Linked DNA regions of Oryzias latipes. The protein of the gene in region 1 purifies or fractionates together with the protein of each later gene. This does not show direct contact. Links are inferred from orthologs where the notes say so. Each region holds a gene or a part of one and is shown on either strand. Other genes may lie near its edges.

Region 1 (4,154 bases):
ACTTGATATCAAAATGAGCTCCTTCAGTGGATACAATTCATATTTGTGCAAAAAGCAATGAAAAGCTTTTTATTAATAGCTTTTGTTTTTCCAAATTCCTACATTTGGACATCTTTCATCCGCCTGTGTCTCATTATTGTAATCTGTTTTAATGTAGATCCGCCTCCGTTTTCTAGAAGAATAAAAGTAGTTTCAGTTTTTGTCCCTCAGGCTGACGCTGTTGTTTTTCCTTCAAACAGAAGTCAGAGTTTTTGAATGATTTTGACTCGTATCCCTTTCAGAAATGTTCTGAAACATGTGCGTTGTTTAGTGAGGCTGTTGAACTGCCCCCACCCAAATATATATATATATATATATAAATATATATATATACACACAAAGCCATTTTGTCTACAGGCATGTATGACTAAATAAAAGCCTTCCTTATATGAGAAAGAGCAGAACAGTTTCTTTCTTGGACACTTTGCACAAGCTTTCTTGATAAACTCTGACAGATGTGCATGTGCAGATTGCACAGCTTTCTACAAACCATGGAGGGGTTTTAACTGACAGAAGCCCAGACTGCAGCAGAACCTTCTCTGCCCCATCCATCATCACTAAGACCTACAGTTTGGTTTTTCTTTGACTGGAAAGCAACGTTTTTGAGGCACTTAGAAAAGATTTAGAACCTTTGGCTCCCTTTTCCCCATCGGTGTTCTGCAATTTAAATACACGATTGAGGCCTTGATGTCCACTCTGAGAATCAAAAAGTTATTTTCTTATCTGCATCCTCATAATTAACAAATACAGAAAGGGAAAACTGAAGGGAAGTGTGCATTTACGGATCACAGCTGGTTTAGATCATTTCTGCCTGAGAGGTTGATCAATGCTGCCAGTCAGGGCTTTGTAAAGCTTTATCTTTTAAGTCTGCAGGTTTCGTTTTCCTTTTTTATGGATACGGTTTTGTTTTCTACTAAAAGAATTAGGGAGACAGTATTCAAGTCAAACAAACTGTTTACTTTTTTTTTTTTTTACATCAGAGTGGAGTTTAATTCCAAACAGCAAAAACGAATCTTCTCATCAGAACCGCAGGCACTGGACTCCAAAAGTTTTGGCTTTCTGCTCATCAGAATCCTGGAAAAACACTGTCATGGCAACAGAAGTGATCGACGTGCTTCACAAACAGGCTGGTGAAGATGCGTTCGCTGACATCGGTAAACGGCAAAATGACTTTGGTTTTTGACTACTCTGAATAAAATAGCAGCTCTGTGGGAGAGAAGTCTGCGGTGTCCATTTTAGGGATCGATGTAGGTCTTTCAGTCCACGGTGGAAATGCTTCCACATATGTACCCCTAGAATGATTCACATTGCTCCAGGATGAACCCATCAGCTCCGTTTCAAAACATACGTTGATGGCAGCCAGTAGCCCGTCAGGTAAAAAACAACTTCTTCACCTTTTACCCCTCATCTTCTCACTGTGCTGCTGGAAGCTGTGCTGTCGCCTCTTGCGATGCTGCCGTCGATCCAAATCCTGAAAGGGGCCCACAGGGGGCTCCGGGGTCACCAGCCCATCCGTCAGCCTCTGATAGACCAGGGTGGAGTCCGATGCCACGGCACACAAAAGTACGGGGAAGCCCCTGTCCAGTACGCTGCAGATGCTGCTCAGGAGACAAACAGCTGCATGTCACAAACCCGTGAGCGACGGTTCAAGTCCCAACTCTCATTTGGTGACTCATCACCTGCTGTGGCTCAAGGACTGATGAGCGGGCAGGGGGAGGACAGTGTGAACCGGGGCCCCATCCTTCTCCTTCCCTTCCAGCAAGATTAATCGCAGCTCCGGACTTTTGACGGACGACACCTCCTTCCAGCGACGCACTATGTGAAACCAAATTCACTTTTTATAGTTTGACACCTTTTACTTTATTTTATTTTATTCAGATTTTAAAAATCTGAATAAAAAAAAGTTTAAATTAAATGAAAATTAACTGAATTTTGATATATTTTGATAAATTACTGTAGTTTTCTTGTTTTTGTTTGGAATGCATTTAAGACACTAATATATTATTATTAATAATCAGAAAAATAATTCAAAAAAGTAACAAAAAAATAAAGTATACACATGTGAAAAAAATCTGAATAAAAAAAAAGGTTTAAATTACATGAAAATTAACTTTTTTTAATCTACAAACATGATTTGGGATTTTTGAACCAATTAGATGTACAACTAAATACAAAATTACTTTTTACAGAAGAAAAATCAGCTTATTTAAAACATTGTAAACATCACAGGGTTTCATTCAAAATTTGAATTGAAGCTACTTAGAAATGTTTGAAGGAATACAAGCAAAATCCACAGTCATTCTAATGCATTTTAAACTTAAATTAAAACTTGTTAATAGCCACTTCTGTACTTTGTTATCTTTGTACGTATTTAAGCTCCCTTTATATTTAATGAAACATATCCAGGCTTCATCACATCACCCTCAGTCAGATCCATGCACACCAGAAAGGCAGCGTGCAGCTGCGCGCTGTCTGCGGGCTCCAGAGCCTCCATCTGCCGGTACTGAAACACAGGCAGGCCGCCGTTAGTTCCGCTCACAGCGAACCTTCACGGTCACGTTACTCCAAGCTCCAGGCCGCTCACCGCAGGGTGCTGCAGGATCCAGTTCGCGGGTGGAGCTTTCTCCACCGGAGGTACTGACATCTTTCAGTGTTTATCCTTTAATACAACTACTTGCGCACTACTATAACCGCACGTTTTCGCTAGGAAGGTTGAGCTTTAATTTTTAATGGGTACTACAATAAATGTCGACCGGATGGGAACACGCTCCTTCCTTTATGTTCCGCACCCCAATGAGGCGTGGAGGACCTTTTTATTTCAATAAACGTTATTATACGTTTTTCAATTTGTAGAAATTCACATTCAGCAGCACGATAAAGAAACAATTGTTAATATCAAAAACACATATAAGACCAAACAACAATAATAGTTTAAGCCCTGTGTGTGTGTGTGTTTTTTCTATAAATGGTCATATACAAACCAAGTTAGGGCGCTCAAACGCAATAAATGCGCATGTAGAAAAACAAAACAAAAAACAGGCAAAGGCAAGGCAAAAAACAATTCAAAATAACAATACTTTTGTTATATTTTGATAAATTACTGGAGTTTTCTTGTTTTTGTTTGGAATGCATTTAAGACACTTCTAATATTCAGAAAAATAATTCAAAAAAATACTAAACAAAGGACATGTATTTTACCATTTCCATAAATTAATGAAATGTTTGCATAGAATAATAACAACATTGATGACATCAGAAATTCCCGGGTCCAGATTTTCCGTACAGAAAAAAACATCAGGTAAGGAAAAAAGAGAATCATTAAAACTTTGTGTAACCAATTGTGAAAATCAGTCCAACATATTTTTATCTGGTTGCAACTGTAAAAGAGATATTCTAACGTTTCAGTTTCAGATGAACAGAACATGCATGGTTCCGATTGAAATTTAAATCTTTTATGTAAAAAATCTCCAACAGGGTAAATTTTAGATATTATTTTAAAATGCGTTTCTTTCATTTTAGGTGGATGTGGGTACTTTGTGTATAAAGAAAAGAGTTACTAATTTATTGTGGCATTTTTTTTATCTTTTAGGGGAATATCATTAATTTTCCGCTCTAAAAATTGTGGTTTGGTTGCATTGTATTGTAGTATGTTATGAATAAGATTGAGTGAAGGTGTGGGAATTGCTTTACAGACTTTGTTATAACAGTTACTAGAATCCTTCATTTTGTATTTAGTTACAAACTCATTGTATGATAACAGCCTTCCATCAGTGCGCATCAAGTCATAGACAAATCACACACCATTATCATACCATTCAGACATAAACAAGGATTTCTTGTTTACAGTTATAAATCTGTTTTTCCATAAAACAGTGTTGTGAGGGAAGAAGTTATGAGTGAAAAGCATCTTCCCAAATTCTAAGGCATGCTTGTAAAAGTTTGATGGTTTCATTGGCATTTTTGATAGATTATAATCGCATTTCAACAAAAACTCCAGTCCCCTGACTTTCTCAAAGAGTTTGTTTGGGATATGATACCACATAGAATGAGGCTGGGAAATACAATCTTTTAACCATTTCATTCTAAACGCTACAATTTGTGATTTAAGGTCTAAA
Region 2 (4,301 bases), on another chromosome or scaffold:
TGTTGCTATTGAAACTTGAATTTACTTTGAGAGCTCTGGTCTTTGTCAGTAAAGAGGCCGTTAGGACATCTGGGATGGAATCAGGTCTGCTGCCTTCCGATGGGACCTTTTAAAATGACAGTATCTATTATAAATGCAGTATCAGCAACTTTTTTTAAACCGTAAATAAACTAATTATCTCTTTTTGCACAGTCACCTCTACAGTACTTATCAATACAATATCGTCAATTGCTTATTAAATAAATGTATTAGAAATTATAGTAGGTATTTTCAATTAAGTAAAATATAATCAAATTATCCAACGTTTTTAAAACAAGGTATTGGCTTATAGGGGAAAATTACGACGGAGTATTAGTGCCACCAAAAAAAAAAAAAAAAAGCCACCAAAAAAAAGAAAGAAGTAAATTTACGAGTTTTTATCTCGTAAATTTAGGAGATAAAAAGTCGTAAATTTACGAGTTTTTATCTCGTAAATTTAGGCGATAAAAAGTCGTAAATTTATGAGAAAAAAACTCGTAATTTTAGGAGATTACAGTGGAAGTGAATATGCATAGCAGCAGGTGAACGCGTGCAGCAGCAAAGCAGACCGACTAAACTTTGTTGAACAGGTGAGCTGAATGTTTATTGATAACGTTCCAAATGTCTGGAAGCTTATTTGTTTGATTTACGATTCATTAAAGTTTTATTTATTGATGGTTGGTTTGCAGGATCTCTGCAGCCCGATGAAGCCATCGGGTGTCCCCGCAGTTGTCCGCTTGAATCCTTTCTTCCTCCACCAAAGACAAGATCTCTATGTCTGTGTGACGCTTCCGTCACACAAAAGGAGGAGCACTTTTTTTGGCATTTTCAATGTTCTAAAGCTAATATAGAAGACAATTTTCATTCCTCTTTATTGTTTTATGCTGAAACAGGACATTTCATCTGCAGGAGGAGGCGTATGTAACACTGTTTACTTCCGCATTGGTGTTCGGATGACAGCTTCATGATGTAATCAGACAGATGAACTTCAGAATATGTGAATGAAAAGGAGAATAAAAGCTGCAGCGATCATCTGCACCCAAACGTGTCTCTGAGCTCCTTATTTTACATATGAAACTCCGCTTTACTGACACTGAACCCCGGAAAGACGGCTACATTGACAATAATCTGATTTTGAGTCGCCAAAAGGTTCAGAATCTCTTTGTTTTAAACCTATAATAATACGGAAATGAAGCTTCACAAAAGGCTCCACATACTTAATCTTCAAGTTACGTTCCGATAAACGGACAACTTCGGTGTTTTTTCCTTAATCTACGACTTTTTTCTCGTAAATTTATGAGATAAAAAGTCGTAAATTTACGAGTTTTTAATCTCCTAAATTTACGACTTAAAATCTCATAATTTAACTTTTTTTTTTTTTTGTGGCCCTAATACTCCGTCGTAGAAAATAAAGAATTCATGTGTTTTTTTAATTGTCTTTTTTTTAGTTTTGTCGCCCTCTGCTGGTTATCTTTAGGTACTGGATGTTTATCAAACACGAGGCACTAAGACCCTGGGGAGGAGTGCGGCTGCGGCCGGAAGCAGGATGGCGGACAGAAAGATGGCCGCGCGCGAGGATTTCTACAACGAAGTTCTCAGGTTAGCAGAAGTCAAAGCAAGCGTCTCCGTTTTTGTTTTTATATATGTTTATTTTCCTTTAATTGCTGCGCTTCTCCACACTAAAATAACTTTGGTTTAATCTATGACTGTTTGTGAAAAGATTAACACTTAGATAAAAACCAATCCTTTCATCAAGAGTTTTAGGCATTTGCCTTATTTCAGCTGGTTTACACTGTTTCTTTAAATTATTATTGTTTCAAATTTATAAACTAGTTTTAACTACGTTTTACGTTATTCATAACTGTGAAATTGACAGGAGTTCTTTCTGAGTTTTCAAGTTTGTTTTAAAGATAAAAATCACCAATTTATGTACAATTAAGTTACATTCTATTCTATTGTAGAATAAAATATAAATGTTTCTTGTTCTTTGTCTTCAGTCTAATCAAATATATAAAAAAATAGATGTTAAAATAGTAAACATATTAAAAATAATACTACAACTAATAACAATAATACATAAATGAACGCATACACGTCCCAGCAGTACAATCAAAATAAATCAAATAAATTGTTAATAAGACTTATAACATGTGGACGAGTAAAAACTATAGCTTCACTAAAAAGATGAGTCTTAAGGTGTTTGTTAAAAACCTCCACAGAGGATGAAACCCTCCCGTCCTCAGGCGGCGAGGCCCGCGGCGCTGAAATGAGGCCTCGCCGTGGCGTGGGTTTAGTTCTGACCTTTTGACACGACATGCAGCACTAGAGGCTGAATCTGTTTCAGTCGTGGTTTTAACCCAGAATTCAAAACGTTTCAAGAGGTCGGACCGAAGATTTCTAGCTGAACTTGAATCTTGGACTCGTCTCTCGCCCTTTCCAGTCCCTCGGAGCTGTTTGCGGCCCGATCCCGCAGTCGGAAGATCCCGGTCCGAGGACAGAAGGACTTCTTCCCGGACGAGTCTGAGGAGCAGAGGCAGCGGCTGCAGCAGAGTCTGGACGAACACTGGAGCCTGGTCTCAGAGGAGAGGGTGGAGCGCCTGTGAGTGCACGCCACCTTCAAACGCATCGAAGGCGTCTGTTCCCACTGCAGCCCCCCCGGTACCGGCCCGTGAGACAGTGACTGGGCCACACAGAAAAAAAACACGGCCCAAAGGAAGCTTCACTTTGGAAAACTCGGTCACATGTCATACTTTCTGAAAGCGGCTGCTCTGAGTTGAAACCAGCAAAACTAACATGAAAGCAAACATACCTGGAAAGTTTCTTTACGCAGAGAAGATCCAGAGAGGAAACAGAAGAAGAGCCTATAACTTCAAAATAAAAGCTGCATTTAACAGACAAAAATATGGAGTCTTCATCCCTAACATGGAATCATTGGGACCATAATAATAATTCAATTCAATTCAATTTTATTTGTATAGCCCAAAATAACTACAACAGTCGTCTCGATGGGCTTCGAAGTAAAACATGAACTCAAAAGGATCACGAATGCAAAGAGTTCAATAGGAAAATACTAAAATGAACTAACAAACTGACTAAGCTATACTGGCATCCCTGCCCTTAGACCCCCCTTCGCGGTGAGGAAAAACTCCCAAAAAAACGGATTCCAGAAAAAACGAAGAAACCTCAGGGGTGCCCACATGAAGGAGGGATCCTCCCCCAGGACGGACAGGCGATTTACCAGAACTCATAGAGAAGAATTAACTTATCTAAATCTACAACTACATACTTTTAATAATAATGCAGAATATTCAGCCATCCGCTCTCTAATGTTACCGGGATGCTGATAATAAAGCTGCGTCCAGCTTGTTGATTGTTATTTTTAGAAAGCATCAGTTTTAGTGAACTTTATTTTCTTTTTGCCGTCACTCCTTAAGGGTCAGAGGTTGAAGTTGGCGTCTGAATCTTTAGCTTTAACCTTTAACCCCCAACTTTGTCAGTTATGGGTTCTTACATGTAGAAATAAAGTTGCAGCTGCGGGTGTTTTACAGAGAATGGAGATAAACTTTAACCACCAAAGTTCTACTGGAAGCTAAAAACAAAAATAAATAAAACCAAACTGGAGATCAGGCCTGTTCTGCCTCAGCGGCACCGATGGTCAGAGCTCCAGCGCCTCCCCAGCAGAAAATCTGTGGCGAAGATTCGCCTCCAATGTCGGTTTTCCACATTTATCCTTGAAACTGGGAGAGTTTTAGCATCAGGAACTGTGGTGCTGGCTTTGGTTCAGCGTCCCTCCTCTTGTCTGTCTGCAGAGGAAACCTGGTGAAAGGCGTGTGGTTGCCGTGCCGGCGGCTGGTGGAGCTGCAGTCTCCTGCCGTGAGTGCTCTCGCTCCGAAGCCCTTGTGCGGCCTTCCTCCCGCGCTCTGCCAGCCGCTCCTGTCTCGTCTTTGCAGGGAAAGTTCTGGCAGACGGCGGGCTTCTCCGCGGACGGAAAGCAGTACCTCCTCCCAGAAGAGGCTCTGTACCTGATGGAGTGTGTGAGTGGAAGCCGCCGGCTCAGGTGCACAGGTGAGGGAACGGGCGCCTGAACCGCTCTCTGTGTGTGAGCAGGGGAGCGTGCAGATCTTCCACGAGGACCTGCCCATCTCCATCCAGGACGGGTACGAGGCGTTCCTGTCTGCAGACACGGTGACCCTGCAGCAGTTTCAGGTGCTCCTCGGTGACCCGCTCCACCCTGCTCCACCCACCGGTGGTCTGCAGGTCCATCTAAGCGCTGTCCCGTCTGC

What was found. The genes of interacting proteins can lie anywhere in the genome.
Region 2: the proteins of tsen15 (region 1) and tsen54 purify together in Homo sapiens (affinity purification with mass spectrometry; 4 studies listed by BioGRID and IntAct, counting the BioPlex papers as one, with this or other methods). This does not show direct contact. The link is inferred for Oryzias latipes from reciprocal best matches to the Homo sapiens genes TSEN15 and TSEN54.

Annotation. Positions count from the first base shown.
Region 1 is NC_019875.2:13,673,636-13,677,789, forward strand, and holds the start of tsen15 (tRNA-splicing endonuclease subunit Sen15), read right to left. Parts: upstream 2,802-4,154; 5' UTR 2,684-2,801; coding exon 2,624-2,683; intron 2,543-2,623; coding exon 2,461-2,542; intron 1,855-2,460; coding exon 1,719-1,854; intron 1,638-1,718; coding exon 1,434-1,637; intron 211-1,433; exon of another isoform or gene 1-210. UniProt on the Homo sapiens protein: Non-catalytic subunit of the tRNA-splicing endonuclease complex, a complex responsible for identification and cleavage of the splice sites in pre-tRNA. It cleaves pre-tRNA at the 5' and 3' splice sites to release the intron.
Region 2 is NC_019866.2:1,089,331-1,093,631, forward strand, and holds the start of tsen54 (tRNA-splicing endonuclease subunit Sen54), read left to right. Parts: upstream 1-1,501; 5' UTR 1,502-1,564; coding exon 1,565-1,617; intron 1,618-2,458; coding exon 2,459-2,617; intron 2,618-3,827; coding exon 3,828-3,891; intron 3,892-3,968; coding exon 3,969-4,052; intron 4,053-4,125; coding exon 4,126-4,224; intron 4,225-4,301.